Linked DNA regions of Rattus norvegicus. The protein of the gene in region 1 interacts with the protein of each later gene in a pairwise test. Links are inferred from orthologs where the notes say so. Each region holds a gene or a part of one and is shown in the gene's direction. Other genes may lie near its edges.

The links. The genes of interacting proteins can lie anywhere in the genome.
Region 2: the proteins of Camk2b (region 1) and Rap2b interact in binary tests that used the Homo sapiens proteins (3 or more experiments, as listed by UniProt). The two-hybrid records come from large-scale screens. The link is inferred for Rattus norvegicus from reciprocal best matches to the Homo sapiens genes CAMK2B and RAP2B.
Region 3: the proteins of Camk2b (region 1) and mrpl11 interact in binary tests that used the Homo sapiens proteins (3 or more experiments, as listed by UniProt). The two-hybrid records come from large-scale screens. The link is inferred for Rattus norvegicus from reciprocal best matches to the Homo sapiens genes CAMK2B and MRPL11.

Annotation. Positions count from the first base shown.
Region 1 is NC_086032.1:85,074,662-85,078,699, reverse strand, and holds part of Camk2b (calcium/calmodulin-dependent protein kinase type II subunit beta), read left to right. Parts: intron 1-9; coding exon 10-104; intron 105-226; coding exon 227-349; intron 350-656; coding exon 657-740; intron 741-1,525; coding exon 1,526-1,568; intron 1,569-2,526; coding exon 2,527-2,601; intron 2,602-4,038. UniProt on the Homo sapiens protein: Calcium/calmodulin-dependent protein kinase that functions autonomously after Ca(2+)/calmodulin-binding and autophosphorylation, and is involved in dendritic spine and synapse formation, neuronal plasticity and regulation of sarcoplasmic reticulum Ca(2+) transport in skeletal muscle.
Region 2 is NC_086020.1:147,747,905-147,750,687, forward strand, and holds Rap2b (ras-related protein Rap-2b), read left to right. Parts: upstream 1-1,482; coding exon 1,483-2,034; downstream 2,035-2,783. UniProt on the Homo sapiens protein: Small GTP-binding protein which cycles between a GDP-bound inactive and a GTP-bound active form. Involved in EGFR and CHRM3 signaling pathways through stimulation of PLCE1.
Region 3 is NC_086019.1:211,692,356-211,696,855, forward strand, and holds mrpl11 (large ribosomal subunit protein uL11m), read left to right. Parts: upstream 1-1,451; 5' UTR 1,452-1,527; coding exon 1,528-1,650; intron 1,651-2,148; coding exon 2,149-2,244; intron 2,245-2,613; coding exon 2,614-2,707; intron 2,708-2,794; coding exon 2,795-2,954; intron 2,955-4,050; coding exon 4,051-4,156; 3' UTR 4,157-4,312; downstream 4,313-4,500.

The DNA of each region.
Region 1 (4,038 bases):
CATCCACAGGGGTGATCCTGTATATCCTGCTGGTGGGATACCCACCTTTCTGGGATGAGGACCAGCACAAGCTGTACCAGCAGATCAAGGCTGGGGCCTATGACGTGAGTGAGCGCCGGGTGTGGAGGGCGGGGACCGCCACGGCCTGGGTCTTCCCTCCTCTTCAGGGGTGTTTGCCCCAGGGGAGGGGCTTCAGCCTTGCCCTGTGCCCCACTTCCTTCTGTAGTTCCCATCCCCCGAGTGGGACACCGTTACCCCTGAAGCCAAAAACCTCATCAACCAGATGTTGACCATCAACCCCGCCAAGCGCATCACGGCCCACGAGGCCCTGAAGCACCCATGGGTCTGCGTAAGTCGTCCTTGGCAACCTCTAGGGGCCAGTTCCTGGTGGGTCTATCCAGGGCCCCTAAGATGGCCCCGGGCTTCTGTTCCTTGTGTCCGACCACTCCCCTGATCTGTGAAGGACAAGACTCTTGAACTTGGAAATAGGTTGGGGACAGCAGGTGGGAACAAGTGATCTCTCGCTGTTGTGGTGGCTGGCCCTAGAGTGCCATCACCCTGAACCCCTCTCCTAAGCCTCCTTGGTTCCCCCTCTGGAGGCAAGGCTGATACTTCTGTAGATCCTCACTGCCCTGCGACTTCCCTTCTCCCAACAGCAACGATCCACGGTGGCCTCCATGATGCACAGACAGGAGACTGTGGAATGTCTGAAGAAGTTCAATGCAAGGAGGAAGCTCAAGGTAGGCAGGACTCAGACCCCATCCCTGCATCCTGGGGGGGCCCCATGCTGGAAGTAGGGGTGTTAGTGGGGCCTTCAAAAGAGGAAGCAGGAGAAACCCCCCAAATCCATGCCTGTTCACGAGTCCAGATCAGAGGATTCCAGATTCTGGGACAGCTCAGAGGGGCGAGCTTGGCCCTGAGTGCAGAGCATCCTGAGGGCTGAAGGAGTGCTGGCCCAGAGCAGGTTCAGTAAAGGGCAGAGCAGAAGGGCCTGGTGGGCCCAGCAGGTTAGAGAGGCAGGCGGACAGGCCTGATCCTGAGAGTTGCTGGCCAGCTAAGGACAGGGTTAGCCCTGGGAACCATTGCTCAATTGAGCTTCCCCAAAGCCCCAAGGGCAGCCCTGGCTTCCCTGGGCCCGTTAAAGGAGTGGTTCTCAACTCAAGGGTCGAGATACCCTGCAAAACCTTCATAATGTAACAGTAGCAGAATCACAGTTATGAAGTAGTAACGAGATAACTTTATGGTGGAAGGTCACCAGGACATGAGGAACTACCTTGGGGTGTCACAGCATTTAGGAAGTTCAAGAACCACTGGGCTAGCTGTCATGGTGGCAGGCCTTCCTGGCCATGCTCACTTCTCAGGAGTCTTGACGCTGTGATTTATGGGTAGCATGAGCCTTAGCTATGGGCGTGTGGCTTCCCTCAGTGCAGCTGCCAGGCTCTGGAATTCTTACTTCTCTGGGAGACCGAGCAGGGGGGACAGAAGCAGACACTAACAGGGTGGCCCTGTCTCTGTTTCTCCTTAGGGAGCCATCCTCACCACTATGCTGGCCACACGGAATTTCTCAGGTGAGACATTCTTCTCCAGGGAAGACGGTGTTTGAGTCCCACCCTCGTTCTACAGAAAGCCCCCTCCTTCTTCATCGGCCCCCCCGCCCCTTTCCTCCAGGCTGGCGGGGGCCCAGTTTCTGTCCTCACCTCTAAGATCCTCTACCCAGAAGGCCTTTTGGCTTTTCTCGTTGGGTAGCTACTGAGGTCTGCTATGCCCCAGTCCTGCCTCCTCCGTGTCGTTGGGTCTGTGTCCCTTACTTGACACCCCAGTGTCTGTGCTGCCAACACCTGGCCTGCCACCTGTATCCGTCCAAGCATCTGTTGGGCAGCCCTGTGGCCTCCTTGTCCTCAGTTCTCTGAGCATCGTGTTGTGTGTGGGAGACAGCCGAAGTGGGGGTGGATGAGATTGAGGTCCGCGCACGGGGTGACTTGTAAGTGGGCCGCCTACCCTGGTTGTTTGGGTGGGTGATGGGAAAATGAAGTCTCAAGGGTCTGTTAGAGACCCATGGGGCCCGCGTGGGGGGACAGTGTTGGCCCCAGTGCCCGGACAGCTATGTCTGTGGCTTCTTCGTCGTCTGACACTATGTGCGAGCGTTCATGGTCGTCTCTCCTTGTGCGTCTGCATCTGGTACCCTGCCTCCTGTTACTTTGCTGTGATGCTGTACTGCCGGGAATGGGCACACAGTCACATCAACACTAATGGGACTGTCCTGTCTGCTGTGTGCCCCGCATGCCCCACAGGGCACAAGAAGCCCCACTGGGGTGTTCTAAGGAGAAAGGAGGCAAATGCTTTCCAGTGTCTATCGGCCCAGTCTTGTTTCACTATCCTGAGAAAGGGATTCTGGAGCCATCCCCTACCTAAACTTTAACTCTAATCTTCTTCTGCTTCCTTTGTCTCTTCTCTTTCCTCACCTCGCCCTTCCCCACGTCTGTGTCCGCCCCCTTCCCCCCCTCGTCTCTAACCCGGTGCTAACAGTGGGCAGACAGACCACCGCTCCGGCCACAATGTCCACCGCGGCCTCCGGCACCACCATGGGGCTGGTGGAACAAGGTAGATGTGTCTTGCCCAGTGTCCACCCGCTCCTGCCCATCCCTCCTGTTGGCATGCAGCCCCCCTGCTGCACGCAGCCACTGGCCAGACCCCCAGAGCCTCCCCGGAGGCAGGCAGTCCCCTGGGAGCTCTGCTCCTGTCACATCCCAGCTGAAGCCCTGCCCTGGGCAATAAGGCTGCCCCTCACTCTTGTCTCATCATCTGTAAGAGAGAGGTCACATCAAATCCCAGATGCATTTGCCTGAGACCCTTGGTTCTGCCTCTGGATGTCTGGAGACCCAATTCAGAGTGACCCTGATCTCACAGGAGCCACTAAGCCTGCTGCTGGAGGGTATCAGCCCTGAAAGGGGAGCCCTTGGATCAGGGCTTGGGGATAGAGACATGTCCCAAGGATCTGTAGGGCCCAAGGGTCTGGTGGTCTGTGCTACAATTCCTCAGAGTGAAAGTGGGGTGCTATCAGTGTCTGGAACTGAAGGGTTCTTTCTGAAGACCCTTCTTACTTGGTCCCGAACTCCCTTAGGGGAGGAGGTAACCTCCATCAATCTGTCCCTTTGATGGTGTGAGACCTTCTGAGGGCTCAGTGACCCAGAGCCCTCACCACGGGGTCCGTAGTCACCACCCAAACTGAATGCCAGCCAGCAGCACAAGGTTCGAGTCGCCACTGAACACATAGACCCAAGCCAAGCTTCAGCTTCTCCTAAAGCCTTGAGAGTCAGCTGAGGATCGAGCACGGGTTTCCCAGCCAGCTGAGGACCAGCCCTTTCCACACGCCTGCCCACACCCACCTCACAACACCACTAGGACCACAGCAATGATCACCTACTAGAGGATCCTCCTCCTGGGGGATGCTTAGGTCACCCTAGGCTTGTCTGTTCTGCCCACAGGGGCCCGTTGTAGACGCTCCCAAGTAATTATATAAAGCTAGCGGCTGTCAGGGCGGCCCTATTGCCAGGGGACAGTGGCGTGAGACAGGTCACCTCTGAGCCATGCTCCGCCCAGGACTTCTGCTGCAATGCTCGCCTGCCTGCAAGTGAGCCGGGGCAACCTTGCATGAGGCTGCCTGCATGTTGTGGTTCTGCCCCAGGAGCTGAGGGTCCCTCTGTCCTGGAGGGAGGTCAGTGCATGTCAACAAAGCTCGGCATGGCTGTCCACGGTGACTAGAGAGAGAGAGCAAGGCAGAGCTGAAGGTCCCATCTACTCCGTTAGGTCGGCCCAGCCCAACCACACACGAAGGGCACACATTGGGGGTCTTCCTTCTCCGTGATTCTGTCCGAGCACCTTGACAGCTGTAGACCCTTGCTGTAGAGCGTTTTTGCACTTTGGCTCCCACCACCCCGCCCCCATTGAGCAGACATGCGCAGTAAGGTGCCTTGTGACTGTCAGGCTGGCTGGCTGTGGGCTGGAGGTAATGGCTTGGCCTGAGACCTGGAAATGGAA
Region 2 (2,783 bases), on another chromosome or scaffold:
CACCAACAAAGGACTATATTTAGTTTGCAGCACTCCACCTAAATTCCTTCTTTTCCCCTCTCAGCTTCAGATGAACAGGCCTGGGCAGTGGGTGGAAGGGGGCGGGGAGCAGGGGAGAAGGAACAGCTGGGCCTCCGCCTCTCCACTCAATCTCTATAAATAACCAATCCTAAGCGGAGGCGACTTTCCAGCCAATGAAGCTGTCTAAAGTGACAAAACCTCGGGAACAGCCAATGGGAAAACATTTGGGGGTGTGAGACTCACATCCTGGGGCCAATGAGTTGGGAGTCTGGGAGAGGTAATTTGAGCTGGCGTGTGGGTGTGCGGTGCGAAACCTTCCTACTTGCAAGCCCCGAACCTGCTCTGCCGACTGAGCATGCCCTGACTGGGTGCGGGAGCCGCGGGCCTTCCGCGGGGCTCGATCCACTAGCCTGGTTTTGGCTCTAGCCAAAGGGGAGGTAGGATGACCCGGCAACTCCTGCCCCGAAGGCTGTGGCGACCCACAAATTCCCACCCGCTAGCTCCTGGTCCGGACAGGGACTCAAGCCGAGTTCTTCGAGGGGAAATGACACGGGAACATAGTGCCAAGTTGGGGCCCGAGCCTCTCTATACCTTCCCCGGCCTGAAAAATGCCCTGCAAGTGTATGATTCTTAGAGGTGCGCAGCGGCCTGGGTTTAGGAATAGGTGTCTTATCCTTTAACAGCGGAAGCCGACGAGGAGGTCACAGCCAGCTGCTGTCTGCTGCGCCCTCAGGAGGCCCGCGGAGCCCAGACGGTGGTGGTGGCTTGGGTTTGGAGAGCTTTCCACCTACAAGCACAGACAAGCCGGGTTGCCCAGTTCCAAGATTCGCGCCGCCCCGCCCCCGCCCCGCCCAGTCCCTGATTGCCCCTCCCTCTACCACGCCCACTCCCGATGCGGCGGAAAAGCTGGAGCGGAGCTCGGGCGGGGCACCGCGGGCGGCGCACTGGGCATGCTCCGCTGGGCGGGGAGGGCCGGGCTGCGCGCGGCGAGTAGGAAGCCCTCGCCCAGCGAAGGCTGCGGGAGAGAGAGGAGAGAGTGATGGGCCGCGGAGCTGGACGCACGTTCCGTGGGGACTCATGCCACGCGTGTCTCAGCCGGACGCACAATTAGCAGCCGCCTCTGCAACCAGCCGCCACCGCCTCCCGGCCCTCCCAGGCTGCCGTGGCGAAGAGCTCCAGCCGTTGTCTTGCTCCGACTGCGCGCATTGTCCTCAGGGTCCTCCGCCAGGACTGCTGCGGGGCCCGGGACCCGCGCCCTAGGGACGCGCCCCCGCTGCCGGTCGGCCCGGCGCGGGGCTCTGCTAGCCTGTTGGCGAGCCCGTGCTACCGGGCTAGTCTCGCCAGGGTTGTTCCTGCGGAGTTGAGGAAGGGGAGAAGTCCACCCGCCCGCCCAACCCAGCCTTCCCCGGCGCGCAGCCCCGACGGGGCCGCGGCAGGCGCGACGAGGGCGCCGACGGAGCCATGAGAGAGTACAAAGTGGTGGTACTGGGCTCGGGTGGCGTGGGCAAGTCCGCGCTCACCGTGCAGTTCGTAACAGGTTCCTTCATCGAGAAGTACGACCCAACCATTGAAGACTTTTACCGCAAGGAGATCGAGGTGGATTCGTCGCCGTCGGTTCTGGAGATCCTGGACACCGCGGGCACGGAGCAGTTCGCTTCCATGCGGGACCTGTACATCAAGAATGGCCAGGGCTTCATCCTCGTCTACAGCCTGGTCAACCAGCAGAGCTTCCAGGACATCAAGCCCATGCGGGACCAGATCATCCGCGTGAAACGGTACGAGCGCGTACCCATGATCCTGGTAGGCAACAAGGTGGACCTGGAGGGCGAACGTGAGGTCTCCTATGGCGAGGGCAAGGCCCTGGCCGAGGAGTGGAGCTGCCCCTTCATGGAAACATCGGCCAAAAACAAAGCCTCAGTGGATGAGCTATTCGCAGAGATCGTGAGGCAGATGAACTACGCGGCACAGCCCAACGGCGACGAGGGCTGCTGCTCGGCCTGTGTGATCCTGTGAGGCGCTGTCTGCCGCCGGGCGCTGGCCACGCTCTGTGCACAAAGCCAAACGCACCCGATTCTCTTAATGTGATTGTCTTCTTGCTTTGAGATTGGAGACGACTTTGTTGTATTGGCTGGGATGTCCGAGGAACCTGGCTGACTTGTGTGGCCAGCATCCCTAGCCTTCAGCTGTGGTCCGAGGGGGTGTCCGTTGCTGAGCATCTGAGACCCTGATGGAAAAATGGCTCTATACAGCGTGTACGTTCCTCGTTGATTTTGGTTAATGCATTTTTCCCCGTTAAAGTAGCCATTAAGGCTCTGTATTGGCTGCTTGACACCGGCAAGCGAAAGTTTCAAGCCTGGAAAAAAAAATGGGGGTGGGGAAGCAGAGGAAGTGGAGGGGAAGGAGGCAGTGGGGGAGGGTTCCCCCAAGCAACTGTTCACAGTTCCAAGTTTTAACACAAGGAAAGAGGTCCCAGAAAATCATACGAAGGAGCCAGAAGAGGGGACAAAACTTTTTTTTCCCTTGTTTTCCAGGATTATTTGGAAATTACGACTAGGGGTTCCTTTTCTGCCAGCTTGGAAGGGCAACCCAGGGACTGATTAGGATTCTGAGGATGTCTATGCAAAGTTGGGTTCTTGTTACAGTGTATCCAATCTGAAGTATTGCACATGTGAACTGGGACTGTTAAGCACTGATGCCAATACAGTGTGGGGTGCCAGGAAGTGTCTGCTGATATTTGTGGGAAAAAAAATCTATTTTGATTA
Region 3 (4,500 bases), on another chromosome or scaffold:
TCAGGACCTCTGGAAGAGCAGAAAGTGCTCTTAACCACTGAGCCATCTCTCCAGCCGCCCCCCCTCATAATTCTTCTCCAGCCAACCAGGCAGCCTATTATGTAGCACACCTACCTCTCTGGATTCTATCATCTTCCTCTTAGCCACCTCTCACAATCCTCCACGTTTTCTTTTCCTTTTCCATTTCCCTGTGTGTGCAATGTACATGTTTCTGCATGCATGTCCCAAAGTGCCTAACTACACAAGGGAGTGAGAACAAAGACTACAAACACCACTTGATTCAAATGCCATTCCCTAGAAAGCAAGTAATGAAATCATCTGCTTCCAATAAAAAGAAAGAGAGAGAGAAAGAAAGAAAGAAAGAAAGAAAGAAGGAAAGAGGGGCTGGAGAGATGGCTCAGCGGTTAAGAGCACCCGACTGCTCTTCCAGAGGTCATGAGTTCAATTCCCAGCAACCACATGGTGGCTCACAACCATCTGTAAAGAGATCTGATGCCCTCTTCTGGTGTATCTGAAGACAGCTACAGTGTACTTATATATATAATAAATGAATAAATAAAAAAAATTAAAAAAAAAAGAAGGAAAGAAAGAAGGAAAGAAAGGGAAGCGATAAAGTATGCCTAAGAAGCTAGTGGGAAATTAGGTCTGACTGGAATGAGGGTTCAGAGACTGCGTTTCAAAAGTGCCGGGAAAATTTCTTCCCTTTGTACAAATAGTGGTAAATGCCTTCTTGGTGCAAGTATTGTTCTAAAGCAACGTGTGTTACTGAGCTGTCACAATGATTCTGAAAGGTACCTATAGTATCCGTGGTGCCCAACATGAAATAGCTAACAGAAACAGTAACCTAACCCTAGCCCTAACTTTTTGTCTAGCTATAAATCAGGTTCATAGCTAGAGCAGCAGTCTACGTTTCGTTTCCGTCTATAATCATATTGCCTTTCATGAAAAACACACACACACACACACACACACACACACACACACACACACACACACACACACACACACACACACACACACACACACACACACACACACACACACACACACACACACACACACACGAAACAAAAGACTCAAGGGACTCCTTTGAATAACTTGCTCCATTTCAAACACTAAGATATCACTGTGTCCAGCAGATGGCAACCCAGAGCTCAGTCAACAGCAAGCGCAGGATAAAGAGCTAAAACTACAATACTACAATACCTACAATGCTGTGCGGAGACTCAAAGTCCTGATCTCCTGTTTGGCTGTCTAAGGCGATGCCTGTGGGCACTGCTGAAGGAATGTGTATACTGAAACCATATATGTTCTTGTCCTGACTTCAGAGCGCAAAGTTCAATTCATTTTTAAATTCCGTAACTCGTTTTTCAGTCGAAGAGCTGTATGCCTGAAACAAGACTGTTCTTTTTTGGCCACATTTACCCTAGCCCAACACGAGGGCCCTTGACCTCTGACCCAAAATGACAGCGCTCAGATCGTAGTTCTTGACTTCTCCGAGGCGGACTAAGGTTAAAATCCTATATCATGTCGAAGCTAAGCCGGGTCACTCGGACCCTCAAGAAGCCCGAGGCCGGCGGCGTGATCCGGTCCATCGTGCGAGCAGGCCAAGCTATCCCTGGGCCTCCATTAGGTCCCATTTTGGGTCAGGTGCGGTGTCTGGAAGCCGGCTTGGGAGACGTGGGAGAGTGCTCTGGAGCCCGGGAGGTCTCCTTTATAAACCTGTCTCCGCTATTCACACCTTCAGGCCTTAGGTTCTTGTATTACTTACGTAGCCTCTTTTGACCATCAAGTTGGCTACTTGCTGATTAAGTGGCACCTTGTGGACGAATCGCCTGGCACCCAAAGCCGTAGTTGAACCTGGGTAGAAGAAATATCGGAACACAAAAAAAATGAAGATGGCGGGGACGGGGGGACTGGAGCTCCTGGTTGATAGGAAGCCTTCAGCTCCCACACTTAACTTTGTTTTTTTTTTTTTTTTTTTGTCTTGTTTTGTTTTGTTTTGTTTTGTTTTGTTGTTTTGTTGTTTTGTTTCCGGAGCTGAGGACCGAACCCAGGGCCTTGCGCTTGCTAGGCTAGGCAAGCGCTCTACCACTGAGCTAAATCCCCAACCCCTCACACTTAACTTTGTATATGCTTTCCTCATAGCGAGGTGTCTCTATCAACCAGTTCTGCAAAGAGTTCAATGAAAAAACAAAGGACATCAAAGAAGGCATTCCCTTGCCTACAAAAATTTTTATAAAGGTACAGAGACGAATTCTCCCATATACTTCCTTGGCACTTGAAACTAGTCATCCCGGTTGCTTCTCTGTCCCTAACTTGGTTGCCAACTTCCACTTCTCATTTACACAGAAGCCTAGACCATAATTTCTCTGAACTGGCTTGATCCTGCCATATTGTGATTCTGACCTCTCATCTCACAGGGGTTCCAGAGGAGAATTGTGCTAGGAATAAAAATGACAGGGATGTGGACTGTAGATCTGCCCATCCTGCCTTCTCTGGTGTTAAAGACAACACCGCAGGAATGCAAGTTGATGGGAAGTTAAGGGACATTAGAAATGTCTTGGACCAGATAGAAAACCAAGAAATTCTCATGTATCTTTTTCTGTTAAGCCCGACAGAACATTTGAGCTCAAGATTGGGCAGCCCACTATTTCCTACTTTTTGAAGGCAGCTGCTGGGATTGAGAAGGGGGCCCGGCAAACAGGTAAGGGCTACAGGGGGCACCTGAGATTCTGATGTATCCAGAGAAATAGTGGCACTAGAAGAATGACGACCTGTTCCTTCTTCCCAGGGAAAGAGGTGGCAGGTCTGGTGAGTTTGAAGCACGTATACGAGATTGCCCGTGTCAAAGCTAAGGATGAGGCTTTTGCCATGCAAGATGTACCCCTGTCTTCTATTGTCCGTTCCATCATTGGCTCTGCCCGCTCCCTGGGCATTCGTGTGGTGAAAGAGTGAGTATCTTGAGAGGAATGGTGTACAAAGGAAACCAAGAAAGTTCTTGATTTGGGAGAAAGCCTATTGCAATGAAAAAGTCAGGTTTTTTTTTTAAATTTATAGCATATATTAGTTAAGCATATTAACTTCGTTGTGACATTTTCATACATGTCTAGCTTTCTAGCAGACTCTAGCAGAAGGATATGGAGCCTCATCTCGTTTGGATGAGTATCTCTTCTGTAGTAGACATGGCTCTGGACACCGCACAGAACCAGGAATGAACAGTGGTGCTCGGCCACTCTGGAGAAATATGTAGTCCTAAATAGAGACAGATCCATACATAGAGGCTTAGGCTAACAGGTGGTCAGTTATAAAACCAGTGGATGTCATGAGAGCAGAGAGGAGAGTTCCTGCTTTTCCCTTGTGTCATTGATGACTCTGAGGGAGGTAACATCAAAACAGCCCAGGAAAAGGAGGGTAGGAGAGCAAATGTTCCAAAAGGTGGAAAAATTGCAGGGAACAATGAGAGATAAGGTGTTGAAGCTAAGTTCGTTGTGGTTTAGGAGTCTCGTCTAGAGAGGCAGATGGGATATGGCCTGAGGGAGGGACCAGACAGAAGGGTCTTTTGAGCCAACAACCACACAAGTCAGCTGGCTTTGGATGATCTCAGGAATCGTTTCCTTGAAGTAACTTGTCAAGTAGGAGAGCATTTGGCCCAGAGCACAGCAGAGGCAGGAACTGGGTCAGTCATCACTGGTTGCTTGCTGCTGGTGTCTTTCCCTACAGCAAGGCTGGCATCAGTTGTACCTCAGGGGTGAGGTTAGAGCACAGTCTGCCTTAAAGTATGCAGCTCTGTGACTCTCTCACTTGAAGTGTTTGTGGCTCAGAGGAAGGGCTGGGAATCCTAAAGGTATAGTAGAGGCCACAGGTTCCGTAGGTCTTTAAAATAGGAGCCACAGTAGAGGATGGTAGTGTATGTGGGTTGTGGTTCCAGGCAGAGAAACTGCAGATGAGCAAAGGTAAGAAAGTTGGAAAGTCCAGGGAGGGACGTGGGCAGGGCAGCTGGGGTCTGCGCCAGGCTCCGCCCCTCACTGACCATCGCTCTTCCTGTAGCCTCAGTGTAGACGAACTGGCAGCTTTTCAGAAGGAACGGGCCGTGTTTTTGGCTGCTCAGAAAGAGGCGGATTTGGCAGCTCAGGCAGAAGCTGCCAAAAAGTGACCCCAACCTTCTACACTCTGAAGTGAGAGACTGAGAAGGGGGCCCACCGAGGAAGCTGAGCCAAAGGACTCCATGGCAACCCGATTTATAGTTTCCTGACTTCTGTACATATGCTGTGCCACAGGATCGAGCCTGAATAAACGTCCTTTGTCATAAGCTCTCAACTTCTTTCCTGAGACCCGAGATGGGGACTAACACTGACAGCTACCACTCTTCACAGGCGTGAGCTGCCCCACAGGTGAACAGGAACCTTAGCGCTTGTCTGCCTCACAGTACAGTAAGGTGGAAACAGTCACATACATGGAGCCATCTGTGTAAGGTAGCCTCCACCTGGAGCAACCCTC